Tamandua tetradactyla: one gene and its partners. The protein of the gene in region 4 interacts with the protein of the main gene of each other region in a pairwise test. Links are inferred from orthologs where the notes say so. Each region holds a gene or a part of one and is shown on either strand. Other genes may lie near its edges. The genes, in order: ARL6IP1, PRAM1, ZMAT2 and FXR2.

Region 1 (7,817 bases), on a different chromosome or scaffold from region 4:
AAGTATTCCAATTTTTCCACAACCTTGCCAACACCTGTTACTTTCCATTCTTTTTTTTTAAGAAGTATGTAGCTGAAGATTTTCAACTATTCATTTAGACCACTGGTTCGCGAAGATATTATTTATCTTTCTCATGCTAATTAAGAGGCTTCATGACATGAAATCATCACAGGCACAGCTAATGGAGTACGTGCTTGTATTTTAAAATCTGTCTTGTTAATGTTTTAAAATTTGTCTTAATTTCTAATACTGTAAACACAAAAGCTCTGTGGGGTCTTCAATAATTTTTAAGAGTGTAAAGGGTTTTAAGGCCAAACAGTTTGAGAGGAAACACTACTTTATTCAACTATGTGAAGTTACCAAGTTTACATAAGCATTACAAATGTTGAAAACTCGAAAAACTGCTCAAAGAAAAGGTATTCTTTACAGATTATACATTACAAAAGATTTAAGGGACTTCCATAAATGGAGGCCACATATTACCTGAGCCCTTATTAATAACAACCACTAAGCAGAGTAATTTAATAGCCCACTTACAGAAACACCAAAGAAACTGCGCCCATGATGGCAGGTGGAAACCAGGCTCTTTCCCATCGGAGGACTTTATCAGCCATCAGCATCACTTCTCCCCATCCTTGCAGCTGCTCTTCCAGGCTTGCAGTCTCTGCAGCCTACATATGGTCAACATTGAAAGAGATCATTTTGCCACTCTCAGCATTTCTGGGGTTCCTAAAGTTCAATTCCTCTTAGGTACCAAATGTATAAAATACCTGTGTTTTTTGTTTTTTTGGGGGGGTGGTGGTGCATGGTTCGGGAATTGAACCCAGATCTCCTGCATGGAAGGCAACCATTCTGCCACTGAACTACTAAAATAACTGTTTTTACCAAGTCACTATCTCAATAGGTTAGTTTTCGAAAATCTTCACAATCTTAGTATCACAGAAGCAAATCAATGGGAGAAGAAATGATCATTTAAGGCCACAGAACAAGTCCAAGCACTGGGCTAAAACTTCACATGTACGACATAACATAATCCCCACAGAGCCTTTGGAGGCAGGGATAATTATACCTATTTTACAATTAAAGAAAGTGAGCTCAGAATGGCTAAGACCAAAGTCAAGCACTACCAAGTGGCACACCAAGGGTTTTCATTTGATTAGATCACGTTAAGTTTGTTCCTTTCACTTGGTTAGACCTGATCTTTGTTTTTGTCATTTCATTGATTTAAAACTTACTTCTAAATCCATTAGCAAAGCCTCCCTGAACAGCATTCAATTTTTAAATAGCTCTTTGTGTAATGGAGTCACTTAGATGTTGGTGTCATTTCACAATCAGGTAAAACTACTCTCACAAAATTTGTGGCATTTAAGCTCAATCTATTTCTTCAAGACAGTGTTTCGTATTCACTTATCAGGACAATTGGGTAGGCTTCCAATTTCTCTGAAAATCTGACAATCAGCTGAAAAGACACCTCTAGGATGGCAAAAAGAAAAAGATGGAACAGGAAATCTATGTGTCCGTTTACAATGTCATCACTGGAAAATAAGCAAATGTCAGAGGCTCATGTTATTTATTCTTAATAACGATGTTCTCTGTGCCTCACTGAAGAAGTAGGAACCTCAATACTTTTAACTTTATACCCCATGCTTAATACTAGGTTAAATAAATATTATGTGCCAGAACAGTGCTAAGTATTTAATCTTCCCAACAATTCTTAAAGGGTGTTCCCACTATCTCCATTTTACAGATGAGGAAATTGAATATACAGAGGTTTACAGATATGAACCAACCCAGGAAATCCAGGACCAAAGGCTCTCCTGAAAAGTTATAATGCTTTGCTAGTTGGGGGTGGGGGTGGGGGTGGGGGTGGGAGTTACACGAAGCCAGGAGCTCTAAACCAGGATCTCTACTAGCAGAGTAGTACAACTTAAGGAGAGTTGTGTGAAAAGCTTCTTTGTGTCACCTTTAAAAGAAGCCAGCTAGGGACTAGCCATAGACAAGCTGTGTGGGGGTGAAAAACATGCATTAATCAAAATATCCTGTAAAGTTACTTAATTCGTTAGCACCTGGGCCCTGCGGAATTCAAAACCCCAAATTAAATTATTTGGTTCCTCTTTGCATTGAGGCTGGGGTGTGGCCAGCCCTTTCCTGGAGACGAGGATGAGGGCTGACGGGGAGGAGGGATGCAAGGATTTCTCTCCTATTTTCGCCTAGATCGTGCACTTAAATATACTTCTATGATATGACCCTACTGCAGTACCCTCAAATTCCTGCTTATTCTAAAGTTGTCCGCTGTCACCCTGCGAATCCCAGACTTTCAAATTCCAGGCAAACGTTAGGCCCTCCATGGTCCTTCCTAGTTCGCTGGACCTCGCAGCCTCCCGGCCGTTTGAAGTTTTGCCAGCTTTAACAGAAATTTCGGCAGCAGCCCTTTGACTGCATCCCCGCCCGGACCACAGGTGAGAAAGGATGAATAAACAATCCGGATGAAGATCAAAGAAGGGGAAACCCAGATATGGCTGAGGCCTTAGGCTGCAAAGCATTCATCAGGCCCCTCGAGGCCCTTCGCCCCGGGCTGCACCCCAGCTTTTTCTCACGCACCCGCCCCCTTCTCCCATTTCCTCCCTATCCTCCATTCGCGGTGACTAATCACGCGCCCTCCTCGCCCCACCGCGCACTTTCCCCCGAGGATGTAAGGGATCGACCTCCGTCACCCAATAACTACCCAAGAAGCCCAAAGGGAGGCGTCGTCGGCTGCGCCTGGGAACCCCGAGAGGAGGGCCGGAACCGCCGCCGGTGACAGAAACGATTCCGCAATGGCCACCCCCTAGGGCCGAACGACGATCGGAGGTCGCCGGAACTCACCAGCAGGTTGGTGCTGCGATTATCTCCCTCCGCCATCGTCCGCGATTGCCGCGTGAGCGAACGCTAGTCTGCCTACAGCCTACGCTTAGCACGACGCCTTCACGGCTACCCCAACGCTAGGGTACGCGGCGCAGGTCGTTTATATAGGCCTGCCGCCTTTCCCGACAGCCCCCGCGAAGCTCGTTCCTCATTGGGCGGATTGAGCTCAAACTTAAGGGTAGCCGGACCAACCGTTGCCCAGCGCATGGCTTGAAATAGAGGCTAAAAGAGACAGAGGCCGAGCCGAGCTGGGAACACGGAATGACCAATCAGCGCCCAGGGGGGGTGCGCCTCCGGTCCCGGGGTTTCGCGAGCGGTTGAACGGCCGCCGCCCGGGCAGAGTCTACCATCCTCGGTACCTTGGCCGCCCGGTCAGCTCCTGGGACCTCTTCCGTTAGGCTTCAAAGTGGCTAAGGAGGCTCTCTGGAAAATTTAGGGTTCAGTAGGCTGCATAGTGTCAGGCGGAGGGCGGACGAAGGATGTGGCGTTTAACTTCATTGTGGTTAGGGAAGCCGGCTGGGACCGTCCTCCCCGACCAGGCCAGTGCCCCTTGCCCTCCTTTGTGCCCCTCCTTTGTGCCTTCCTTCTAATCCCTGCCCGGGCCGCCTTTGCTAGCATTTTAGCCCAGATTTGTGACTCTGAGACTCGTGCCCACCTCATGAGGTTTTGAAGACATGTGAAAAGCACTGTTTGGATTTTGCTGCAATTTCTCTCTCCTACCGGATCAGGAATAAGTCTTTCGCTCGGGAGGAAGGGAAGACCTTGGCATTTTTTTTCAGAGAACGTGTGAAAAATGCCTTGACTTAAAAAGTTGGCTCCTTTACATCGGGTCTTTGGGGAAAGTTTGTAGGGCATTTCACTTACTCCTTAGGACTACTACTCCTGTGTTGGCAGGACCTTCCTTACTTAGGTGATCATGATAAGGAATGATGTAAACCCTTTCGTAAGCAGTTAAACTAGATGAACTATGTTGAGACAGTTTTAAGTATTTTCTACCCAGGATTTCAAAATGCATTTATGCTTTGATTTTCATTATTCAATAATAATAATAAAAAAATCATGCCAAATATTGACCTGGCCAGATGTGTTTCAGGTAAGTTATCCATAGTTTTTTAACTTCCAGCTTTTTACATTATAGTCCTCTATTTTATACCATCAAATTTAAATTTGCTTTAAAAACATCAAACAACTACCCTGTTCTTAAGAGTTCTAAAGCATTTGGATAAGTAAAAACACTTGAGAAAAAAGCCTTTGCAAAAGGGGACTCTCCAGTAAGGTGCAACTTTGAAGAATGTTGGGGGGGGGGATGGAAATAGGTGTGTAGGTAAGGGATGCAGGCAGTTGATATAGAGACCCCATTCTGGTTTGTTTTTTAAGCTGTGGAATTTAAGGCGCAGATCCTCCTCCACCTCTTCAAAGAAATAAAGGATTATAGGATCCAAAGAACCAGCAGAGATTCCACATAAGTGAATATGTTCAGCACTGAGTGCACAATCTTTCTGTACTCCTATTAATATCCTCTTCCAAAGGAGAGGGCATGGCATTCTCATTAGGCTTTAAAAACTGACATTTCTACGTTAGGAAATCAGTTTTTGCTACAGAATGATTCTGGTTTTCACTGAAGTTACTTGTGTACAGCTTAAGAAGGAAGACTTTAAACAGCTGGTGAAACTGAGGTACGTTTAAAAAAAAACAGAAGAGACTCAGGAGTACAGTTCTCCCAAGGAGTATTTTTGTTATTCAAAGAATGTGTTCTCAGATCCCATTTCAAATTTATAGCCTAGGAGCACTGCTATATAGTCTTTCACTATATTTCCAACTGGCCTAACTGAAAACACCTACCCTATAAAAATACAGTTTTTGAGCTTTGTGTACTACAAAGACAGGATGTGATCTTTTGAAATGTGTGAGATGACTGAGCAGTTACCATGAATCCTCCTAACATAAGCAACAAATGCAAACCTAAAAAGACAAGCTGGACATTTTATCTTTATTGGTTTTACACCCCAGTGATTATACCTTTCTTCTTTTATGCCAATAATGATCTGCTAAAGTTCTGTTGTAAAGTATTGCTAAACATATGCTTAATAAAATTCGGCCTTAAAATTTTTTTGGCCTTAAATTTAAGAACTTTCCCACTGAAGTGAAATTTCCACCTCTGTTCAACACTACTATAGAGCTGAGGGTAAAAAATTGCTTTGAGAATTAAACTTAATTAACTAGGGATAGTCATGGCAAAAAAATAAATAAAAGGCTAGCCATGCTTCACAACCATTTTCTGTAATCTTTCACCAATAAATTCAGATCTTAAATAAAAAGCTACATCTTTTGAGACTGAACCTTTATTTTTTTTTTTGAAAAACAGGTATTTCATACAATCTTTGCCAGGTTAATGCAAATATGCACAAAGTAGGCATGTATTTTTGTTTTCCAAAAGATGCATTACGAGCATTTTCAGGAAGCTGGTGTAATTTAAATTCAACTTTTAATCTTAAAATACAATCACAAAATTATATCCATCAGGAGGCATTACAACCTTTTGTACAGAGAAGCCACTTTTATTTATACAATTTTACTGGACAAGGAAGATTCAGTCCAACTCAATTTGCTTTTAGAGTAAGGATAAAAAGTAAATTAACAAGTGAAATATGATGGTGTGCCACTGACATCACACAAAGGTGGAAATATAAGGGAAGTTTAAACCAGAACAGTAACTGACGCAAGAATTTTAAACAGGAGCTGAAACTTGACTTGTCAGGAAAAAGAAAAAAAATATATTTAATCAGCCTGTTTTGAAAGAAAAACATCCTACAAGTTTGCATTTCAGAACATGCAATTCCTTAAGTTTACCATCTTCAAAAGTCTAATTATATGGTGTTTTTACATTAGCACAAGAATAGTAATTCCAGTCTATCCTCATGGAAAGTAAGAGATCCTAAATGGTTCATGTTGTACAACTAACCCTTGAACATATGAATGTTCTCTCAGTTGGAGTCAATTTGTCCTTTTGTCAGTAAGGGCTGGTGATATTTTACCCAGGCCTAAAAAAAGCAGAAAAATTGCAACAAACCCTCAGAGTTTCATAATACAGTGTATTCCCCGCTTCTGAACATTTGGAAAACTTCGTGATGTTAACTAGCTTTTCCCCATAGGAAGACCCTTTCTAATACAAACCAAATATTGAAAACAAAATTTACCTTCTTTAAGTGACCCTAACATTAATATATTCTATCCCCTTGATTTAAGGAGTAAAAAGTCTTAGTTCCAAATTCCTAGCATTTTACAAGTCCAACAAGGTATAGAATTGCAAGACATTGGTCTTCATACTTAATCTAAATTTTATGTAAAGATACTTAAATGGGATAACAGTAAAAACATTCACTGATCTTTGATGTATATGAATAGGACTAACAGGCTAATTATCTGTGCTTTAATACGAAAAGGAAGAAAGGAAAAGGAACCAGCTCCGTTGATTTTAGTACTGCCCAAACAAGTAAGCCCCCAGAGTAATTACAAAAATGTGGAGAAAAATAGGCCAGGAAGACTTTACGATTTAAAGTACTGCCTATAATACCCCAGATTAAAAAGGATCTAAGATTGCACATCAACTCTAATATTTGGCTGTACTTGCATTGCCCTGCTCAACATTTTTTAATGGCTCTTTCCTTAAATTTTACACATGGGAACAACCACAAAAAAACAAAACTAAAAACAATGCAGATAAACACCAAACACTGGACAATATTAAAACTATCAACTAAGCTTAGGTAATAGAGACAAGTGTTAAGGGCAGATGGAAGTTATTCTTTGTATTACAAACCCTAACACTGAACCTGGGGTTTGGGCCCTAAAAAAGCAATTTAGGGATCAAGAGCCTGATTATCAGTTCTCATACAAGAAGTCTCACATATTTCAAAAACGACTCACAAGTATCAGACAGAAAAGAATCTTAATCTCATGACCAGAAATGGTGAGACACATAAGACATACCAAAGAAAAGAGTAAAACAGAAATATAGACAGCTCCATTAGCTATTAAGCCTCCACAGCTCTGTAGAGAAATCATTTAAAATTAGGCAATTCTAGCAAATCAAAGACAACAAAACACTAAAGATAAATTTCAATTTCCAAGGGTACTTTCAATAGAAAAGAGGTTGTTTGACGGTTATTCTGTACCCCCTGAATCTGAGAGAGAGAGAGAAGAGGATCCCTGGTTTTCCACAGGTATTTTGTGTGTCTTCAAAAAGTTATGACTTCATAACTACAGCACTCTAACTTTACATTATTTTACGATAATCCCTAAATATAGCTGTCTTCTCAATCTGCTCTATCACCAGGGCCTTCTACTTTTGATTAAATTTCTAACGAGTTCTCTTACAACTGTCCAGAACAGCAAGGCCCTTTGCCCCTTGCAGAATGACATTCCAGAAGAAACCAAACTGTACAAAGGGGCTTTGTTCAGAGTGCTGAACAAAGAATAAGCTTTGAAGTCATTAATTCCTCATACCTGCCCCAAATGTACTACATATGCCACAATTCTCTGAGGGACCATTTACTCATAGGCAAGAAAATTCACCTATTTCATTTATCTTCTTTACCAAAAGAGGAAGCATTTCTAAATACTACTTATAGGGACAAACTAGTGTGAACTGGTTTTATCATTGTGATAAAAAGTTTTCCTTGTGACAAAAAGAATGTTGCTAAAAAGAATGTTTCATATCCAGAGAGCAGAGGTAATCAAGTGATGAATGCAATAGCTCCCACAGCCTCGGGAAAGAAAGCAATGTGCAAAATACAATATGGCATTTTTATTCCAGCTAGGTTGTTTTGTGAAAATATATTTCAAAATTAACAAAATAAAATTTGATGAGAAAGGTTCCTTAACTTGCTGTTAGACACATGGGTATCCAAAAA
Region 2 (6,974 bases), on a different chromosome or scaffold from region 4:
CATGGCTCCTGAGCATGGAAGTCCTGTGTACCTGCTGGATGGTGGTTTTACCTCTGCCTCTATCTTGTTCCCATCCATCCCCTTCTCACCAGCCCCCATGGCCCCCCAGCCTGGGCCTGAACTCCCCCTCTTCAGGTACCCACAGCTACCCCTCATGCCCTTCTCCAGCCTGAGAGCCCCTGGAAACACAGGGGTCTCTTCTGTAAAGGATAAATCCAGTTGCACCCCTCCCCTGTCTTGTACCATCCATTGGCTCCCCGTGGCCCTCCAAATGAAGACACGGATCTAGTAGACCACAAGGCCCCTGGTTGAGTCTCCTCACCCACCCACTCCCAGGACCACACTAACCATCTCCTTCTATGTCCTCTTCATCTCATCCTCCTAAGGAGCAGAGACACCCCTGAGCAAGGACCTGAGCACCTCCCCAGCCTCTCCCCACCTCATCCAATCCCTTTCCTTTCCCCTGACCTCATTTTCTGAGGCCTCCTGAGTTGTCTATTCTTGTCTTCAGCTTCTGTGTCTATAGCTAACAAGACACCTGTCATCCCTGGGCTGGATCCGCAGCCCCACCCTTCCAAACTCTTCTTGTCTGCCCCTTACCGTACTGCCTGTCCTCTGCTAATGTGTCAGCCTCAGCCTCAGAGTTGGGCACCTCACAGTCCCCAGCATCGAAGCCAACCAGGTAGACGAGCAGGGGCAGCAGCTGCAGCATTACCTCGCGGTTGAACAGGTCCAGGCTCCACAGGCCCCTCCATTTCTGTGAGGAGCAGGACAGGGGATCCAGGTGCCCTTAGGACATGGCCTACCTGGTCATGGGGGCTGCCTGCCATCCCGCTCCACTCTGAAGGCCTCACCCAGGCCTTCAGGGCTGTGATAGCTGCCTCTGAGATTCAGGTGTGTCAGGCCAGGTGTCCATTCTGCCCACACCACCAGGTCCCTTCTAAAGCAGTTGTCACTCAACCCCAGCTTTGGGGCTGAATGGGCCATAAGACCTTCTGATTCTGAGCTCCTGCCTTCTCAGCCAGAGGCTTTGGAGCCATGACTGTGCTACCTTGAGGAAGATCAACCCTCCCTAGTCCTGAAAACTTGGTCCTTGTAAGGGTTAAAAAAGGGGGGTGGTGTCTGGGAGAGACGGAGAGGGGTTGGGATATGTCTGCTGAGTTAGTTAGCCACATCCCTCACTCACCCAACCAACCCATCCTGCCTGGGATCCTCCCAAGAACTGGGAGAGGAAGGGAAACAGGCTCAAGGGCCCATTTGACCAATGGGGTGAGGCCAGAAGGGGAAATTAACTAAGTAAGCCCTGACCAGCCAGGTCCACTTCCATGTCAGGCAAAACTCACCCACTGGGCACCACCCCAGAAGCTGGGCACATGTAGCCCTGCTGACTCTCAGGCAGAAAGGCCTGTGGGGCTCCTTCCCCTCTCCCGGACTCCCACGGGCCTGGGATTTTTGTTCCCCCGGTTCTAGCCCCAGGTTCTTCGTCATCTCCAGGGGATGGGCTCTGTGTTTCTTGTGCACCAGGCCTCCAACCCTGATCCCTGCATCAGGCCCCTCTTTCAGGCACCCAAAAATCCGGGTAATGCTACTTCCCAAATAACCTGTCTGTGCCTTTCCAGGGAGACCCAGAGTCAACACCTTGGTCCAGGACCCTCCCCTGCACCTGTGTACACAGAGCTGCCCTTCCCTCGGGACTATGAGTTCCCAGCTCCCCACTGCCCTTGGAGCCAGCTGGAACTCTGCCTTGGGAGCTGGGTCATGACCTGGACTCCAGCAACCACCCCATCCACTCCAAAAACTACATCCAACCTTCACCCCATCCTCACTCACTCCTGCCTTTGTATGCTTCTATGGGAAGCCTTCCTTTCCTGACCCCAGCACTCCCTTCTGGGCTCCTGCAGCCCTTGCCCTTCCTCTGGCCAAGCCATGACCCTATGGAGAGACACATCCCACCACCAACTCCAGGATGTCCCAAAGGCTGAGTCCAGGAAGGGGCGCCCTGGAGAACATGAATGAGAGGCGAGTGCAGTCCCGATCCCTGCATACACCAACCTGCTCCATGCATGGGAAGGCTGGCCAGAGAAGCAGGTTCATGTTGATTCGTGTGCCTCACTGAGCAGGTGTCCAGGACCAGCTCCGTCACCTGTGGGTGGTGGCTCGGTTACCTTCACCCCGGGCTGGAAGGGAGAAGGTGGAAGCTACTGGGCACACATCCCCAGACCCCGCTCCTGAACTTGGTCCGACCTCCACCCACCCCCACTAGCCTCAAGCCCAGCAGGTGCTGGGGCTCCTGCGCGGGGATCTGTCATGCCGGCTTCAGCTCTTATGCACAGTGGACCTTCTCACACCGAGGGCTCAGATCCCAGGCACCCCAATACCCAGACCCCTCCCCAGCCCGCAGAGTTCCGAACCCATGCCCCACACAACCTCCACTTCCCAAGGCAGAGCTCAGCCTGCGCTCACTTTTCTGGACTTCCGGGAACACAGCTCCAAATGGAGCCGCTTGTTCTTGCGGGAACTGCTGTCCACACAAAGAGGAGGTGAGGGGGAGCCTGCGCAGCCACCCCCACCTGCTGGGGCCCCTGCAGGCAACACAGGGACTTGCCCCAGGGAGTCCTGTCTGGAAGCAGGGAGTGGGCCTTGAGGGACGCCATCCCTATGAGTTTGGAGCTGGAAATGCCCAGGAGTGGCTGGGCTGGGAGCCTGGGAAGTCGCCAGCTATCATTCTGTCCCCCAGCTTACCTTCACTGAGCACCTAATGTATGCTCTCAACTACTAATTGCTTGTTCTTTCATTCATTCCCTCTCTCACCAAACACTATATGCTGTCCTCTTATGATCAGCCTGTGCTAGCTGGTGCGACAGATCCCAAGAGGGCCCAGACTTCGTCTTCCCTGCCTTCATGGGTCACCCCATGCAGTGCAGAGGCTCCAGAATCCCGAAGCTGTGCTTTTAAAGCAGATTTCCAAGCAAAAAGGCACATTTGTTTTCCCTTCTGCAGAGCAAGCAGTTGAAGGGCTCCTGCTCAGAATGCAAGTTCCTCAAGACAACCAACCCACCTTCCCTGCCTCCATGTTTAAATAAGCTCAAGAAAGCCCTTGCTGGGAGGCACCCCACCCCCACCCCAGCACTCTTGGGCCCGGGAGTCAGAGTTGTGCTGGGCTGTTTGGATGCAGTGTTCACAATCACATGCTGAAATGCCCTTAGCATCCACGACTCCTCAACTGCTGCCCAAGCCGAAAAGAAAAGGCTTTGTAAAGAGGCTTGTGCTTGGAATACCGTATCTCTGATTAAAAAGGCAACGACTTCAAAATACAAGGAGACAAAAAAGAAAGCCAGCCTCCATTCTCTAATAGTACTGGTCTTAATCACTGCCATCACTTCTTTGCTGACCTCCCACTCTGTCTCAGTTTTCCTCCCAATCTTCTTGTCTTTTGGAGTGATGGGGTGTCCTCAGAAACCCCTCCCCAGGGTCAGGAATTTGACACCACCCACCCACCACCGAGTCTGCCAGCCCTCTGTCCCGCGTGCCAGCCCTGCCCCGCTGCGGCTGGCTCATCTGCTGAGGGGCCTCACAGGCAGTTCCTATAACAGGGAAGTCCAGCTCAGATCTGGGAATTGGCCCACGGGGAAGTGTTGAAATGAGGCAGGCAGATGAAGCAAGAAGGGCAAACAGATGGGGCCTCCCCATCAGACCCCCCCCCCCCCCTTGGATCTCCCAGCCTCCCCAGCGGCCTCCCAAGCCCCAGCTCTGACCAGGTCCTTTCGGAGGTCCCCCTTGGGGGGCAGGAAGCCATCACGTCTGGCATCCAGTTCTCCCTGCCATCCCCAAATCCAGGACAAGCAGGGTATGGGGAGGGGGATAGCAGACAGTCAAGAAACTTGCGACTCAGTTGAGGCCCGAAGCTCAGGGTCAGTAGCAAGTGGGACGGGAGCTCAAGGGGGTTAGAAGCAACCAGCAGTATCTGGCAACTGGCTAGGGCAGTCCCCACCCCCTTTCCTTCCTCCTCTGCCCGCCCCACTCCACCGGCAGCCCCCACCCTGTGTGCTGGCCGGTGAAGCAGAAGCCACAGTTAACTTCCTGAAGACAGCAGACTCAGCTTGGGTCCCACTCACCCCATCGCCCATCACCTACTTGCAGCCATGGTGAGTGAGTCCCCAAGTTCCCAATCCCTAGGAGATCTCTGCACCTGCCAGAGGTAAGGGGTGGAGCACATGGAAATTGGATTGTCCAAGACAGGACAGGCAAAAGAGAACTGGGAACGAAGTTCAGCAAACAGGGATGCCTCATGAAAAGGCCCAGAGGCACGGAGCAGTGGAGACACCCGCCCCGCCCCCTCCCCCAGGACAGCTCGGGTTCCAAAGGGCCTATGGTCCAGATGGGACAGTCTGAAGCCACTCCCCTGCCCCCAGGCCAACATGAACTGATAGCAGGCAGATAAGCTTCCTCTGTGGAGTCAAAGTGGGTCAGGCTCCCACCACCCCCACCTGCCCTTCCCCAGGGTCATGACCCACTGACCGTGACTTATCTGACTGTATGGTCACCTCAGAGTCCTTGCCTTGACCCACCCAGTAGGGAAGTAGCCTTAAAAGGCAGTCTTTCCAAGGGGTGACCCTAATCCATCCTCTGGATGGGGAAAAATGCACAGAGGAGCAAAGGCCTGGTGGGTCCTTCCGGCACATTTCTGTCCTCTTCCCCCTAACTCGCTGACCCCAGGCGAAGCCACGTGTGGGAGAACTTGTAGGTCAGAGAGGACCTGGCCTACTTGTGCATCTGCCTGTCTCTTGGCATCCATGATCAAGCTCACGGGGCTGGTTGCGAGGGTGCCTGGGACATACATACTCAGTGTACCACAGTTGATGCCTATGTGTCAGTCTGTCTACCAGTATGTGTGCGCATGTGCATGTGCGTGTAAAAGAAACAGTGTGTGGAGTGCTGAGAAGAGGGAATTGATTTAAAGTAGGGTAACTGAGGATGGCACATCTAATAAGGACATTTGGAGCAGAGAGATGAAGGAGGAAGAGGAGAGAAGCACAAGGTGGGGAAGTTATGTCCCAGGAGAGAGGAAGGTCAAGTGCAGAGACCCTGAGATGGGATGGGGAAGTGCTCAAATGTTCAAAGACCAACAAGGAGGCAGGAGGGGGAACTGAGATTGGGGTTGGGAGAGACCTTTATGAAATCTGGGCTTTTACTGCGGGGAGATGAGGACCCCTTGCAGGATTCTGAGCAGAGGCACGAACCAACTAGGGGCTTCCTCTGGCTGCTGTGGGGGGGACTGAGCAGGGATGGTGAGAGGGAGGGTGGGAGCCAGGGGCTAGGAGACCGGGAAGGATGCTGTTAGGATGATCCTGGGATGATGGCAGTGGCCGAGGTGAGAAGCGGTTGGATTCCAAATAAAGTTAGAAGGGGTTGGGGATTTAGGGTGCAGAAGAATGAGGCAGTCAGGGGAGCTCAGAGGTTATCCGACAAAAGGAAGGACTGAGGGAGCAGCAGTGTTGGGAGGCATATGGGTAGCTCAGCACCGATGGAGAGGTTGGGATGTATTGGACACCAGAGTGGGGAGGGTAGGGGAAACTGGGGGGATGTAGTTTACAGGAGCCTGGAGATGAAACTGTGGGAAACCTCAGCCAAAAGCGATGAGGCCAAGGTCAGGGAAGAGGAGCAAGTCTAAGGGTGGATGTGTGTGTGCACACGCATGTATATTCCCACATCTGCCTCTCAGTGACCCTCGATGTACAGGAGTCCCAGCCTGACTAGCTCCCTGTCCTGCAGGAGAGCCATCAGGGCTTCCGGAGCCTCCAAGCAAAGTTCCAGGCCTCTCAGCCCGAGTCCAGTGAACCCCCCAGGAAATCTCTAAAGCCCGAGTTCAACAAACTCCCAAAGAAGTTTCCACAGCCTGAGTCAAGCGAGCACCCCAGGAAACTCTCACCACCTGAGTTTGGTGCAGTCCCCAAGAAACCCTTGCAGCCCGAGTTTGGTGCCTTCCCCAGGAAGCCCCTGCAATCTGAGTTCACTGATCTTCCCAGGAAGCCCTCCAAACCCGACTCCCGTGAACTCTCCAAGAAGTTCCCACAGTTTGAGGCCAGTCCATTTCCCAAGAAACCCCCACAGCCCGAGTTTAGTGAGGTTCCTCAGAAGCCCCCAGAGCCCAGCACGTTTCCCCAGAAGCCCCCACAGCCGGAGTCCAGCACATTTCCCCATAAGCCCCCACAGCCGGAGCCCAGCACATTTCCCCATAAGCCCCCACAGCCGGAGCCCAGCACATTTCTCCAGAAGCCCCCACAGCCGGAGCCCAGCATACTTCCCCAGAAGCCCCCACAGCCGGAGCCCAGCACACTTCCCCAGAAGCCCCCACAGCCGGAGCCCAGCACATTTCCCCAGAAGCCCCCACAGCCGGAGCCCAGCACATTTCCCCAGAAGCCCCCACAGCCGGAGCCCAGCACATTTCCCCAGAAGCCCCCACAGCCGGAGCCCAGCACATTTCCCCAGAAGCCCCCACAGCCGGAGCCCAGCACATTTCCCCAGAAGCCCCCACAGCTGGAGCTCAACGACTCCACCAGACCACCCACAGAACCTAAGTTCAGTCCATTCCCCAGGAAGTTCCGGCTGCCTGAGGCCAGCGAAGCCACTCCAAAGCCCTCACTGCCTGACTTTAGTACTTTTCCCAAGAAGCCCCCACAGCCTGAGATCAATGAGCCTCCCAGAAAGCCCCCTAAGAAGTCCCTGACACAGCCCAACTCCTGTGAGGTCCCCTCAATGCCCTCGAAGCCCGAGTCCACTGAGCTCCACCCCCCATCCTCAAAACCCGGGTTCAGTGCATTTCCCAAAAAGGTCCTACAGCCTCACCAGAGTGACTTCCCCAAGAGGCTCCTGCAGCCCGAGTTCGGTGACCTTACCAGGACATCCTCAGAGCCTGAGTTCAGTGTATTTCCCAAGAGGTCCCAACAGCTTGAGTTCAAACCACTCCTTCACAA
Region 3 (7,396 bases), on a different chromosome or scaffold from region 4:
CTTGGGTCAAATCTGGTTATAAGAATCGTATGGTTTTCAACCAAGAAACTCATATTTTTAGATACAATATTCCCAATCATTTCAGAAGAAGGCATTTTTCATTTCCATAAAGCCTTAGCACTAGGAAGAGTATGGTAGCCAACCCCTAAGATGACCCCCACAACAAGCCCCACCTCCTGGTATTTATATGCTTGCCTAGTCTCCTCCTACACTGTACCAGCACTGATCTGCATGAAAAAAAGAATATGGCAAAAGTAACAGTGTATCATACCTAAGGGTAGGTTATGAAACACTGGTTTCTGTCTTAGTTTGCCTGTCTATCCACCTTTCCCTCCCAGATCACTTGCTCTAAGGAAGCCAGTTGTCTTGTTGTGGGCAGTCCTAAGCAGAGGCCCATGGGGCAAAGAACTGAGGCCTCTGTTCAACAGCCATATGAGAGCTAAGAAGCAGATTCTCCAGCACTACTCAAGCCTCAGATGACTAGAGCCCTCGCCAACACCTTGAATGCAATTTTGTAAGAGACCCTGAGCCAGAAGAAGCTAGGACAAAACCACTCTCAGATTCCTTTTGCTACCAAAATTGTGAGCTATTTGTGATTTTTAACTACTAAGTTTTGGGGCAATTTGTTACATAGCAATAGATAACTAATAAAGAGAGCAATAACAACAGCAAGTTTACTAAGCAGCTCAGAGAGCTGTCATTCATTGCCATCTGTGTTTTCCTCCTGCTAGAAAACCTAACAAACTGCATAGAGCAGCAGTGGTGGGCAAAGGGGTGAAAAGCTCTTGTGGGGCCCTTCTTCTAAAGGTTACAGTCTTGGTCTGCAAGGCAATCCAGAACAACTACAGCCTTTACAGCCTGTCTGAAATCTCAAACCCCTTTCTTCAGCACCAACAGCACCTAGGCTCCGTTCTAGTTCTACCTAATTTTTCCCTAGAAAAATTTTTTCAGTAGTCCTTTCCTTCATCTTTATCTCTGGCAGGAGAATAAATAATCCCCTTTAAAGTATTAAGGAATTACAGTGCTAATATGCAAAAATCTGTGGAGTGATCCCTCCTGGAAACACTATTATGCTAACTTGAATTGAGACTTTGGGGAACTAAAAGAAAAGCAAATAGAAGACCAAAATTACAGATACTATTGTTATACTCAGCACTTCCTAAAACCAACATAGACTATTTGTTAGTCTCACTCTTGGTGGCAGAGAAAGATGAAAAGCCACTCACCCTCCCATCTCAGATTGCGGGGTGGTCTTGGTAATGACAATTGTCTTCCCAAGCTTGGATTCCAGATCCACCTTGTAGTCCCTGTGCCGCAGAAGCTCCCGCTTGACTGGCTGCACTGGTTTTCCTGAAACATAATGGGAAAAGGAGTCCCCTCAGTATTACAGTTCCTCCATCAGAAAGGGAAAAAAATACATGAGATGCAAAATTCAGAGTCCATTCTCATGTATGTTTGTTTTTTGATTCCTGAAGCAAGGGACACAAAGGTCACTTGAAGCAGAAGCTAGGGAGACTCTAAACACAGGAATAAATGAAAAGCAATCCCCAATTCTCTATAGCTTTTCTCTACTTTAAAGCTAGCAAGTTTAAAAGCAATTTTTTTTTCCTATCCATTGATTAGCTGAATTGAGGGGATGAGCTCTGAATTTGTACATGAAGCAACGTTTTAAGAAAAAAAAGCAAAGACACACAGTAATATTGTCGGGCAGATACTCTATGTGTAGCACAGAAAGGAACCTTCTGAGAGGTGGGTCAAATTTAATAAAGAGGGAAGGAATTAACAATTTGGAGGCATCTGCTACGTACCAAGTACTGCTACACAACTTAATATAAAAAACAAAAGGATTAGGGTGTGCAAAGTGGTGTGGAAGAAAGGTGGAAGAAGGACATACAAGTTTGAAAACAGATGAAAAAAGTAAGACATTTCTTTCCATAAAGTGGGATTCTCTAGGAGAGGAACAGTAACTCCTTGAGGTTGTACAAGGTACAGAGAAAAAGCACTAACCACTAGCTGAAACTATCACACGGTTCCCTGATGAGTACTGCTTTTCTCAGATCATATGGGGGGGGTCTTGATTGGGCCAGGAATGTTCTCCTTCCCCTGAAGTAATCTCAAAGGAAAGACGGGGTAGACACCAGTAATGCACGGCAGCAAAACGCAAATACTCCACTCCACTTCTCTATCACTATTAAGAATTCCAATTTCTTCTCTGTACATCAGGGAAGCACTGAATGAATCAAGCAACGGGAGGGCAGGAGTGGTGAAAAGAACTTCAAAACCACCTCGGTCCACCTCCTCGCACACGAAGAAACCGAGGACCACAAAAGGTTACTCGAAGTGCAGGGCAGCGTATGCTCTGCAAAAGATTACACAGTGTAGGGCAGCGTATTTCAACTCCCCACCGGAATCCCTCTAATTATTTATCCTTAGCCCTTGACAGAGCAGGCACCTACCATCCTTCTTTTCTCTCTCTTCCGTGAGCCTCTTCTCTGCGAGCTTCTCGTATTCATCTTTGTCCCACTTTCGGCGAAAGTCCAAGTTTTTTGTCTGTAAGGGGAGAAAAGCACTTACAGTCCGTCGCTAACCATGCCCGGACCCCTAGAGAAAATGAGGGAATCGCGTCCTAGGCGCCAAGACGTTCCCAGGACCCTCCAATACCGAAAGCCTCTCTGAATCCCATCAAGAGGCTGGGATGGTCCCAGGACCCTGAACCCAGAGACCTCCGCGATTCCACCGACCCTGTGCCCAGGTCTTACGGGGAGTTCTCGCACCCGGATCCTGAGGTTGCAAGAAGGTATCTGGCAGCCAGTCCCGTGCAGGAGTCTACCTCTATTCCGCTATGAGAAGTAGCCCCCAACCCCCCCATAATCCTTCTCATACAACACCTACCCCGCTGCCCGACGCCATCTTCGCCGCGAAGTGAACGGGAAGCCGGAAAATGCCGTAAAAAGCGTCCCTGAACCGTAAAGCGAGATGACCCTCCAATAAGCTTAGAGAATCCTGTTCTAAACGAACTAAGGACGGGGAGGGCTTCTAAACAGGGTAGTTGGCTCCGCCTTTGCTTCAAGAGGATAGCGCAAGCGCAAGTGGAATGTGAAGTAACACGGAAGTAAGGGCGCTTTCTAACCTGTTTGATCCCTTGCTTTAAAAACAAGGATTGATGGGCTGATAGATTTAGTTTACCTCGTCTGCTTCACAAGTGAGGAAACTTAGGTTCGGAAACAGTGCCCTCTGACCTACCCTAATCTACTTTGAGTGTATGGCCAAGAGTTTCTAAACCTTTAAGGCTGAAGCGCTGTTACAGGGGCTCTAGAAGCTCCATTCACTGCATGCACTAGGGATATAATTCTAAGCTACACTGAAGCGTTTGCAAGAGCTGTAGCCTTTTCAACACACATGCATGGAAAATGCTTTTTGGCACTTTGGCCCTTTTCCTGAAGCAATGCTATCTCACCCTTTGGTTGACTCATTTTTCTTTCACCTGGAGAACATTATTGTTATCCAATCAGTAGGGCACGATGTAATTAATATGACTGGGCTTACGAAGGCCAGTTAACAGCCACGTTTCTAGTATGAAGCACTCTGGCAGATGGCTCACTAGATTGATTTTTAGCGATAAAAATCTCCAAGTTATGATGGGGATGTGAGGTGGATGTGAGGTGCAGGTGGGGAATGTGGCTCCTCTCTTCAGTGAACACATAAGTATCACCCCAGGGAAGTTACTCCCACCCAGCTCACAATTAGAATTCTCCAATGTATACTCAAGTGTTTTCTATGGCCTATGCAAACCAATTCTTTTATAACAAATCACCCAAACTACTACATTAAATATTTTATTTAACATATCATCCAACCACCTCTAGAATATCCACCTCCATGAGGGCATGGAATAGTCAGAGTAGTGATTGTGGCACAGTAAATAAAAATGGCAAAAGATGAGACCTCAATCTTGCCAAGTCACCTATTAAGTTCAACATTGAACTCATTGAACAGATAGCCCATATTTCTACTGTTAATAGCAGAAGGGCTAAAGAGATGCCAGATCAACCTGGGCATGACCATGCCCTTGGGATAGCATCTCTGATCTCAAATGAGAAAGCAGCCATTGCCCCTCCTTGCTGTCTCCCAAAAACTCCATGGGCCAGGCCATTGGCTAGTTATAAACAAATTCCCCAGACTCTGGTTCAGAGGCTACAGTGGAAGGGTAAGATTTCGATGGCTCAGAATTCTCTCAGCCTGTGGTGTCTCTCTCATACCTTTCTTACAGCAACCATCTCAGCACCTCTTGGTGGAACTGAGTGGCACTTTAAATCTGCCATCTACCTTGCAGCTAGAACATATCTCTCACATACCAGCCAGTTGCATTCATGCAGAATAGCTGCTCACACTAGTGGCTTGAAGCCACAGGACCCAGGAGTCCTCGGGGCCTTCTACAGTTCTGTACCCAGGAAGAACTGAAAAGGCAGAAGGAACTTGTCACTCGTCTTGGCTGGCAGTTGTGAAGTCTTTCAGGAACTCATTGGTAGATGAACCTTTTCTACAAAGAGCAGCAGATGGCAGTTAAGAAAAGATCAAGACTCAGATAGTCGCTTCTGAATTTCAGTCACAAGATCTTCCCGTTTAATGGCCACCTGAAATATAAGAGAACCCTCATGTGACAAACTAGAAAGTGACACCCATTCCTTAGCCACTGCTTTTCCAGATTCATTTTACTGTGCATCTGCTCTTACTACTTAGGAAACCAATGGGGAATAATGTGGATTTCAGGCTGACCTAGAGAATATTCCCTCAAGATTAAAGAGATTCAAATTCAATCAATGGATATATGTCTATTTTGTTATTAGTCTCAAAACACCCATTCAGATTTCATTTGTCCTTCTTCTGCCCACCCAGCTAATACTCATTGGCTGCAGTAGTTGCTTGGAGTGGGGTCTTCCTTCATCTCCACCCCTACTAACTTTGGAGATATTTCTTCAGCCAGAAGACCTTTATTTCTTAAAGAATCTGTTAAAGTAGTAACACTTGATCCCTTCTATTTCTGTCTTCCTCCACTCACCTCCTCCCTGCTGGCGACTGAGCGGAGCTTGATGACTCCCTCCTTCAGTTCTTGCTCACCAATAATGACCACGAGTGGAATGCTCATGGTCTCACAGTAGTGCAGCTGGGTTAGCAGTTTAGGGTTGTTCTTGTATAGAAGTTCAGCCTGAAAAGGGTCAAGACAGGGGTTTTACAAGTGAACACAGCACACAACCCCTAGAAGCAAGTATTTCCAAGGAAGCAACAAATAAGTGGCTGGCCTTCCTACCCTCAGAAGCCATTCTAGTGAAGACTAAAATGGCCTTCAGTTCCACCCTAGGCATTAAGGTAGAAATAGGCCTGGAACCCAAATTCCACACATACCCAAATGTTGCTCTACCATACCTTGATCCCAGCATCCCATAGCTCTGCAATTAACTTCAGTCGTTCTTGAAGAAAGTTCTTCTGTGGTGTGGCCACAAATACTTGGGTCTCTGTGGTCCGTACCGTCTCACCAAATGCCTGATAAAGAGAGAGAAGATTGTAAAACTAAACAGCAACAAAAAAATTCCTTCAAACCAATAACTCCAAAAGATGAAAAGAATCATCAGAAAAACAGCCCCACTAAACCTTCAGTAACATGAGGGTTTCTCGGCCTCCAACCCCAGCCCCTACCTAAGGCCTACCTTCATTCTCTGCTCCACAATGGCAAAGATCCGCTCTACCCCAATACTGAGCCCTACACATGGCACCTTGTGGCCCTTGGAGTCGAACAGGCCCACCAGCCCGTCATAGCGACCACCAGCAGCCACACTGCCCATGGTCATAGACTCTTCCCCAGCCTGAGCTGGGGTCTGTAGCAGTACTGCTTCATATATCACTCCTGTGTAGTAGTCTAGGCCCCGAACCAGGCTTAGGTCAAAGGAGATCTGTGGAGATGAGGTTACAGTCAGTCCCAGACAGAATGCTAAGTGTGCTAGAGCTCAGCAGGGGGAACCACTCCCTTCAGTTTACCTTCTCAGCGATTCCAAATAGAGTCAGGTATTCAAAAAGCAGCTTCAGGTCCCTCAGGCCTTCTAGCACCTGTTTGTTTTGGGATAGTCTGGGATCCTGGAACAGCTGTTCTACAAGAGACTCCCCACCTAGGGAAAAGTAGATAGAAATAAACCTGTGTCTTTTACCCAGCATTCAGACACAGCATTCATCCAAGCCATCTCTAATGTGCTCCAGTCAGTCCTCCTCATTTTCATAAAAAAAAAAAAAAAAAAAAAAAAAAGGATTCCTAATCTCATATGACCAGACTCTCCTCTTCTGCCTCTACCTTTGCCATCTGAAGACACAAAGTGCTTACAAAAAGTAAAAGGGGAATTAAATTTAGATGAGGTTCTGGAGCTTAGGACCATCTCCAAAAAGGAGCAATTTCAGAGGACTAAGTTATACACATCACCCTCACCCTGGTTCTACCACACAGCTCTAAAACTCTAGTTCTTACCATGTCGTTGGATATAGTCCCCAATTTGATCAGCCACCTCAGAAGCCAGGCCCTTTTTTGCCACCATCTCATGTCTCACCGCTTTCCAAGATATCTGCATAAACACCCAAATAGTTGCTCAGTAAGATCTTGCTTACTCTAACTGGAAAAAGACATCTCACTTTCATTTAGTCTGTATGTATGAGTAACATGCTACTTTCAGCAAACTCAGAGGCAATTTAGAAAATCTAGTCACAGTGCCCACTGCACAGAACTCAAGTCATGCTTCAGGATGTCTTCTGACCGCCCTCCCAGAAATAGCTCACATCCAGTCCCTATCTCCTTCTTTTTCTCTAGCAATATAGATTTGGGGACAGGGCAGAGACCCAAATGGTGTCTTCTGAAGCATATCTTATTTGCTACCTTGTCTAGTTTGTCCATTGAGGAGCAGATGGCCCGGAACTTGCTTTCAGGAACACCACAGACAGCAAACATCCCATCCACAATCCGTCGGTGATTGACCTGTGAACTCAATGAAAGTAACCCAAGTGCCCATCAATGCCCTTTCCCTCAAAACAATGGCAGTCCCTATTTTTCTGACTCATAAAAAGGACAGAAAGGAAACCTCACAGGAAAAGTATATAAGAAATGCAACAGCTATACTAAGAAAGTCCTAGAGCTGCCTGATAAAAGGCTGGGGTCATCAATGTTTTGAGACTAGCAGACCAGATCCAGACTTCTCCCCCTCAGTGTTCAGTGTTGGCCTCACCTTAATGAGAAACTCCCCCAGCTGCAACCCATTTAGGATTTCACACATGATTTTCAAACACTCTGCATCAGGGATCATAGGGTCAAATTGACCAGCAATGTCAAAATCCTACAGCAAAGAAAATGAAAAGGTTAAAA
Region 4 (7,666 bases):
ATCTTGTTGGTTTGTACAGGTTAGTGAGATGCCCTGATATATCCCAGAGTAATCTGGGCAGAAGATTAAAAAGTATTTGCCAAGTCCCCTTGAGACATTAAACTTCCCCAACTGAGGAAGACCTGATATTTGTGCAGTCATTGGGGACTTTCAAGTTAATGGGCCAGGCCCTTGATCTTGGGGCCTCCCCGTATGAAACTTTTTCCTACAAAGGAGAAACTAAGCCCTACTTATTATTATGCCTAAGAGTCACCCCAGAGAACCTCTTGTTGCTCAGATGTGGCCTTTCTCTCTCTAAGCCAACTACGCAGGCAAATTCACTGTTCTCCCTCCTACATGGGACATGACTCCCCGGGTATAAATCTCCCTGGCAATGTGGGACATGACTCCAGGGGATGAGCCTGGCCCTTGGAATATGGGATTGGGAAACCTTGACCAAAAGGGGGAAGAGAAATGAAACAAAATAAAAGTTTCAGTAGCTGAGAGATTTCAAAGAGAGTTGAGAGATCATTTTGGAATTTATTCTTATGCAGTATATAGATATCTCTCATCAGTTTTTTGTGTGTGTATTGGAGTGGCTAAAAGGAAATACCTGAAACTACTGAACTGAACTCCAACAGCTTTGATTATTGAAGATAATTGTATAATATACAGCGTTTAAGGTCTGACCACATGCTTGTGAAAACCTAGTGACTGACATTCCCTTTATCCAATGTATGGACAGGTAAGAAAATTAAATAAATAAACAGACAAATCAAATAAAAATCAGCAATCACTTTCAGTTGCATTTTCTGTGTTGTGTGTTTCAAACTCAAAACAGCATGCAAATATTCCTACTTCTGGGCATTTCTGTTGTAAGCATTGGCTGTTGCCTTCTCACTGTTGAAGATAAGGAACCAGCCTCTTGCCAACTCCTCCATCATCCCAATCCACCTCCAGCGACATCCTTGGGATGAGGTTCTTTGCCATTGTCTTTAATCAAAAAACAACCAACCGCTTTACCAGGTGTTCCCTGTCTGTCAACTTTACAAAGGCAAACTTATCTGATCAGCTTCATCAGAGAGGACTCCTGCTTGGAGGCAAGCAATGGCTCCAAGTATTCTAGGATCTGGGGAGAAAGACGTCAGGGGGAAGAGGGGAGTAGCAACAATCAGTATGTAAACTTACATTTAATTCCCATTTTTATCCACCTTTCTATCTTCCTCCCACTATTTTTATTTATTTAGAAACCCCAAAGCAAGTGGGGCATCTGTTATACACACTTTGTACTCCAGCTAGTAATCTTACTGAAATACAAGTCTGCTGAAAATCCTGTAATGGCACCCACCGTTTTCAGTGGAAAGTCCAAACATCGAAATACGTTTCAAGTCCTCTAAGCTCTGCCTAAGCCAACCCTTCCAGCCATGTTTCCTCTCCAAGTCTGTTCCAGCCATGTTAGACTATTTTTAGCACCTCAAGTCTAGGCTTTCTATACATGCCGTTCCCCTGTCTGAAATGCTGTTCCCTTTTTTCCCACTCCCATCCTTTACGTGAATAAACAATGACCAGAGCAGATGAAGGAGAGGAAAAGTCAAACCTGAGAAGATTGTTGGTGCCTGTGGCTTGGAAGTTGGTGACAGTGCCTGTCTTGGTTTGCTGGATCTGCTGTAACAAAGCACCACAGACTAACTGGCTTAAACAACAGCCATTTATTTATCACAGTCCCTGAGGCTAGAAGTCTGAAATCAAGGTGTCAGCAAGGCCATGCTTCTTGGAGGTGAATCCATTCCATGCCTCTCTGTTGCCTTCTGGTGCCGGCAATCCATGGTGTTCCTTGGCTTGTGGAGACATTATTCAATCTCTGCCTCCTCCACATGGCCATTTCCCTGTCTATACATCTGTCTCTCTGCCTCCAAATTTCCTCTCCTTATAAGGAACCCAGGTCTCCAGTCATACTGACTTCAGTCTAACTAGTAACATCTTTAGACATCTTATTTACAAATAAGTTCAGAGTCACAGAACCAGAGGTTAGGACTTGAACATGTCGTTTTGGGAGACACAATTCAATTCCTAACAGTGCTATTTTGAAAAAAATTCAGTCCTTTCCTACGCTTAAGAGATCAAACCCATACTCTTCAGTCTAGCGTTCTTGGTAATCTGCCCTACTTAATTTCCTTAACTCTCTGCACTCATCAGAATCACTGCTGGTTGTCTTCTGACCATTTCTGTCATTCTAATTACTGCTGCTCCTTCTCAGTCACTCTTGGAGGCACCTTTTTTTTTTTTTTGACAGCTTTTTAAATACTGGTGTAGTTCAGAGTTCCATCAGGACCTTAGTTATTTCTAAACCTTTTATTTGGAGATTCAATTTACTCCTCGGACTTACTCCTCAGACTTAACTATGCTGATGATTTCCACAAGCACCTTTCTAACCCAGACTTCTCCCAGATCACTCACCTGTAAGACATTTGTTCCTTCACTCAGGAACTGTGAGCTGCTGGGTAGACAGTGATGGGGACAAACAGACATGGACCCTGGTCTCCAACATCACAGAGCTTATGGTGTGATAGTGGAAGAAAGACACTGAGTAAATTATTATTACATCCGTGATCAGGGCCACAAAGGAGTAAAAGATGCTTTGGCAGTGTAAGATGGGGGACTAATAAAATTAGCATACCAGAAGGGTAAGAAAATTATATTTAAACTGGGACCCAAAAGAGAAATTTGTTGAGACAAGGGAGTATCTCCACCTGAATGGCCCACAGGCCCTCATAAAGAAAGAATACAAAACCAAACTCACATCACCATTCACTCTGTAATCCAAGTTAGAAATCTAGGAATTGTCCTGTGTTCCTCCCACTACTTCATTGCCTCCTGACCTAACCCCACCCCACACTCTATTACCAATTCCTGTGATCCTACTTCAAATTAAATAGGCTCAAATTCAAGTTTTATCTATTTTGCCCATAACCGTAGTTCAGACAGGTCCTTAGCTTCTTTTTTCACAGGTCTCACTGTCTTCAGGACCACCCTTACTCTTCAATCTATCCTCTAAAATTGTAAGATGCAAATCTTATCACATCAAGGGGTAGCAACCACTTAAATTCTTTCACTGGCTCTCCATTATTGATAAAATAAAAGTTATTCTCCTTAACTTGTCTTACAAGTCCTTGACAGTCTAGCTTCCTGCAACTCCTTCCTTGGTGCTAAATGCTAGATGAAGTAGATATGGTTCCGCAAAGGACGTGTTCTTTCTGCTCTTTGCATCGGCTTTGCCTCTTTGTAGCACCTCTGTTTGTTCTTCCCTGGCCATTCTTAAGTCCTGCTAACCATTGTCACCTTGGGGTTCCCTCAATACCTAGTCCCTATCTCTATCACATCTTAATCGCACTCTGTGCATTTATTTATTTAAATAAACTCCTTGAGCTCAGGGACCACATCTTGTCTTTGGATCCCAAGCACTTAGCTCAGTGATTGGAACATAGTGGGGGGGAGGGGGCTAAATAAATGTTTGCTAAATAGTTACATGCGCACACATGATTCTAATTTCTGTACTGTTTTACTCGATTTCAACTACATTTCTTATCTGTCTTAGTTCAGGGATCCTAAGTTTCTCCCCTGCTACCCTCACTCGATGACAATTTCTCCTATTTTGAATTTCCTCAGCATTTAGATTTCTGAGTTTGTGCCAATCTAAATTGCATTTCGCCATCGCCTTGCAACTATTCTTTGACCTTTCATTACATACATGATCAGGATCATCTTGTAATATCCTCAAGGCAAGAACCGTAACTCAAATCTCCTAAACACAAAGTTAGAGGAGCTTGGAGAGACATTCAATACAAGTCTATGGGCGATAAATCTCGGCGCACGCGCGCGGGACACCTCTTTGCCTTTCGACACTACTTTTTTTTTTTTTTTTCCTTTGGAGCGTGCGCACCAAGAAAGACAAAGGTGGGGAAAGTGACCAAGCAGTCGTTCCGGCGCATGCCTATCCCTAACTTGTCCAAGCCTGGTATGGCTCCTAGTGGTGAAGTGGGTGTGGTATGACCAGGAGCCGCAGAAGTCCAATCCCACGGAGTGAGAGCGGTCCCTCCCTCCCTATGATTGGTCAGCGGTCAGTGTTGTGGGGCGGGGAAAGGAAGAGCTCGGCGGGGTGGAGTGATGGGGTGGCGAAGAAAGAGAGCTAATCTCGCTCTGCGCAAGCGCATGTAAACGACCAGGAGGGGGCGTGAGAGAGGGAAGGAGAGTGTGGAAGCCCCCATGCGCTGGCGAGCGCGAGCTGGGGCGCTAGCCTTGGCGCCTGCGCCGTGGCCCGCCGGGCTCTGCGCGCGGCGGGCGGGTGCCGGGTGCGCCTGCGCAGTAGACGGCGGCGGCAGGGGGAGGTGGAGGCCGTGGAGCGGCAGAGGCAGCAGCGGGTCCCGGGACCGAGGCAGCAGCGGGGGCGGCGGCGGGCGGAAGCTGAGGTGACGAAGGCAGCGGCGGCGGCGGCCGTTTCCCTCACGGTGGCGGAGACCAAGGCGGCGGCGGCGGACGGGGAGCGGCCCGGCCCCGGCCCCCTGCTCGTTGGCTGTGGCAGGGCCGCCGTGGGGCCGGCCCGGCTCCCGCCCCCCGCGGCTCCCCCTCCGGCTCCTCCTCCGGGGAGACGCCGGGGGCCCGGCCCGGCCCGGACTCAGACCGCTGCTGCAGCCGCCGCCGGGGGAGTCGGAGGCGGTGGCAGCGCCATGGGCGGCCTGGCTTCTGGGGGGGATGTGGAGTCGGGACTGCCAGTGGAGGTGCGCGGCTCCAACGGGGCCTTCTACAAGGTGAGGCGGCGCGCCGATCGGGTACACCGGCCCCTGGCCCTCTCCCAGAGCCGGAAAGAGTGGGGCGGGATGGAGCCTCTCCAGCGAAGTCCTGACCTCTAAGAGCATTAGACAAGCCTCACTCCCACCCTCAGCCTTCCTGGGGAGACCTCTGGGAGTTAACCCTCTTTCCTATTTTGGATCCCTCTGGTACACCTGCTTTTTGCTCGCGCCTCAGAGGAAATGAACGTCAGGGCATTATTGTGCCTAAATCTGTGCCCTCCGCCACCCCTTTCCCCTAGAAGAGACCCCCATTTAACCAGTTTCTTATTGACTTTTCCTGTTTCGTAGTGCAAAGATATACCTTAGACCTTAATCATATCATTCCCACAGTCCAAGCACATAGAGAATTCTCCCCCCCGTTAGCCGTCTTGTGGAAAGCCATTCGTTCATCTTCCTTAGAGAGACTTCTGCCCACTGACTCGGGGAAAATCATCCCACTTTCATCGTTCATTCCTGTTCGCAGTCCAAGGAGAAACGGTCAAAAGCCATTTAAACTATTTGGCGTCTTTGACCTTAGGAACTCTGGGTTATTTCAGGGTCAAGTTGCCTCCCAACCATAAAGTGGCATCTTTTTAGTAGTCTTTTGCCCCGCCTCTTTACCCCAAGGCCAGCTGGTCTACCATTCCACCTAGGGGATGGGCTTTTGTTGTCACTTTGACCTCGGATACATTTAGATCATTTATATGCTTTCTCCATTTTGAGGAATGTATAAGTTTCATATATCATAATATCTAAAAGGGGATCTCACGTGGACCTCTTCTGTTTATCTTCTTAAGGATTTTCACTTCTAGAAGACTTCTTGCCAACTCCCAATTTGGGAATCTGCTAGTAACCTTTTTTGGAAGGAGGAAGGGAGTATCTTTCAAAGACCCTTGCTTATTTCAGCCTTCTCCTCACCAAGGATTTGGTTCCTTAGAATTCCTTTTAGACCATCTATCCCTTATCTCCTCTGAATTCAATTTCTAGGACATCCCCCTCACCCCCCCCCCATTTAGATTAGGCCAGAGGAAGATCCTTCTTGCCTCCTAAGGATATTTCTTTGTCACTGTTGTTATTCTGAACCTCTTTGGGCCTTATTCCTGGAATTGTCACAGAGACTTTCCTGATTCCTGTCTCATTCTTCACTCTCATCCTGAGAAGCTGGGTAAAAGATTTTTTAACATCACTGGTGAGAAGAGCCTCATTTCCTTAACATCTCCTCAAGCCTTTTCTTCCACAGTAGACCCCTCCACCTTTATGCCCTTGGAAATAATTTCTTCCCTATGAAATCATAGCTTACTTTATCTGGAAAGGGTCATATATTTGCACTTGGAGTGGATGGTTTCTATCCCAAGTTCAGTTGATGAGTTCAGTGTATTCATTTTTTTTTTTACCCACTAACCATATCTACTTTAGTCTCCACACCAGATTTCTGTACCTGTCTCTGTCTGTTTGTCTTAACTTCCCTCTCAGTTCAAGCCTCTAACTTATTGTAATATTTTTATTCTATATACTTTTGTAATCATCAGGAACCATCTTATTGCATGTCTAGCTTGAAGGAAGTTCTTGATTGATCTCTTTTGTTATTTTTTCTACATACTTTTATAACTTGGAACTTCTTCTTGAAGTTTGCCCCCAGAACATTTATTTTCTCCGGGAAAAAAAGTCTTAATTCCTTTATAGTTCTGATAGAGTGTATTTGTTTCATATTCTTTCCCCTGAACTTACATTACCTTTACTGAAATACCCTTCTGCATAAGATGTTATCCCCATTTTCCAAGTATCTTGTCCTTCATCTGGGCCCCCCCTCAAATTCTGAGTTGCAAGAAGAGTGATTGTTAAATTGAGTCTGAGATCAAGATATGATGTTTACTTTTGTTCATGGAAGCATGGGAGCCAAGCACAGCTGGGAAAGATTGGTATCCTGTTCAAATTAACTGTATGAGATGGTTGGTAAGGGAGAGAGTTCTCTTTTCACATAGTAAGTGTCCAACACAGAGTCTTCCTATGAATCTTTCCCTTTTCTCCTGTGAGCTATGGCAATGACAGACCTTTGATTGAGGGACAGAATACTTTGGTTCAAAGAGTAGAGTTTGGAATTGAGTCGAAAGCCATGTAATGTGGATTTTGTGTTCTAGCCACTTTAACATTTTCTGTTCCATTACAGTTAAAAACAACAACAAATCCCTAAATTCAGGCTAATCTTTCCTCAGCTTTCATTGTCATATAGACACTTAGCCAGACTGACCTTGCTACTGATTTAATATTCATGACTCAGCAGACTTTGGTGTGGATCAGAGAGTATTTACACTGTTTTTAAAACTATAAATTTTGGAAGATCCCTTTCTCCTCTCTCAGAATGGGTCCTCTTCCAAGGTGGAAATGCAAATGTTAGATCTGAGATCTAAGTTTTCTTGTAGCTACCCCACCAACCCTTTCTTTTCTGTCAGAACTTAATGTATTTTATTCTTTAAGTTGTACTCTCCTAAATGAGAGAATGTACCCTTCTGGGCACATTCATTAAACTTTTCAGACCCTGCCTGGATATATATATTTATCATCCCATTCTTAGTATATAATCAGTAACTCACAATATTATCACATAGTTGTACATTCATCACCATGATCATTTCTTAGAACATCTGCATCAGTTCAGAAAAAGAAATAAAAAGAAAACAGAAAAAAACGTCATACATACCATACCCCTTACCCCTCCCTCTCATTGATTGCTAGTGTTTCCATCTACCCAATATATTTTAGCCTTTATTTCCCCTAATTTTTTTTAATTTTTAAAAAACATAACAACATACAAACATGAACATTCTTACCATGTAATCATTCCATTCTTGATATATAATCAA

The links.
Region 1: the proteins of FXR2 (region 4) and ARL6IP1 interact in binary tests that used the Homo sapiens proteins (3 or more experiments, as listed by UniProt). The two-hybrid records come from large-scale screens. The link is inferred for Tamandua tetradactyla from reciprocal best matches to the Homo sapiens genes FXR2 and ARL6IP1.
Region 2: the proteins of FXR2 (region 4) and PRAM1 interact in binary tests that used the Homo sapiens proteins (3 or more experiments, as listed by UniProt). The two-hybrid records come from large-scale screens. The link is inferred for Tamandua tetradactyla from reciprocal best matches to the Homo sapiens genes FXR2 and PRAM1.
Region 3: the proteins of FXR2 (region 4) and ZMAT2 interact in binary tests that used the Homo sapiens proteins (3 or more experiments, as listed by UniProt). The two-hybrid records come from large-scale screens. The link is inferred for Tamandua tetradactyla from reciprocal best matches to the Homo sapiens genes FXR2 and ZMAT2.

What each region holds. Positions count from the first base shown.
Region 1 is NC_135349.1:40,185,322-40,193,138, forward strand, and holds the start of ARL6IP1 (ADP-ribosylation factor-like protein 6-interacting protein 1), read right to left. Parts: upstream 3,002-7,817; 5' UTR 2,902-3,001; coding exon 2,866-2,901; intron 2,847-2,865; exon of another isoform or gene 2,726-2,846; intron 672-2,725; coding exon 538-671; intron 1-537. UniProt on the Homo sapiens protein: Positively regulates SLC1A1/EAAC1-mediated glutamate transport by increasing its affinity for glutamate in a PKC activity-dependent manner.
Region 2 is NC_135337.1:84,926,816-84,933,789, reverse strand, and holds the start of PRAM1 (PML-RARA-regulated adapter molecule 1), read left to right. Parts: upstream 1-3,960; 5' UTR 3,961-4,142; coding exon 4,143-4,145; exon of another isoform or gene 4,146-5,772; coding exon 5,773-6,974. Other genes in the region: acidic leucine-rich nuclear phosphoprotein 32 family member B-like, read right to left, coding at 601-757, 2,053-2,094. UniProt on the Homo sapiens protein: May be involved in myeloid differentiation. May be involved in integrin signaling in neutrophils. Binds to PtdIns(4)P.
Region 3 is NC_135346.1:20,719,664-20,727,059, reverse strand, and holds the start of ZMAT2 (zinc finger matrin-type protein 2), read right to left. Parts: upstream 3,019-7,396; 5' UTR 2,911-3,018; coding exon 2,893-2,910; intron 2,551-2,892; coding exon 2,457-2,550; intron 1,351-2,456; coding exon 1,227-1,350; intron 1-1,226. Other genes in the region: histidine--tRNA ligase, mitochondrial, read right to left, coding at 4,575-4,634, 5,060-5,206, 5,425-5,541, 5,706-5,948, 6,034-6,161, 6,512-6,605, 6,914-7,012, 7,260-7,367. UniProt on the Homo sapiens protein: Involved in pre-mRNA splicing as a component of the spliceosome.
Region 4 is NC_135332.1:61,463,631-61,471,296, reverse strand, and holds the start of FXR2 (RNA-binding protein FXR2), read left to right. Parts: upstream 1-4,650; 5' UTR 4,651-4,703; coding exon 4,704-4,784; intron 4,785-7,666. UniProt on the Homo sapiens protein: mRNA-binding protein that acts as a regulator of mRNAs translation and/or stability, and which is required for adult hippocampal neurogenesis. Specifically binds to AU-rich elements (AREs) in the 3'-UTR of target mRNAs.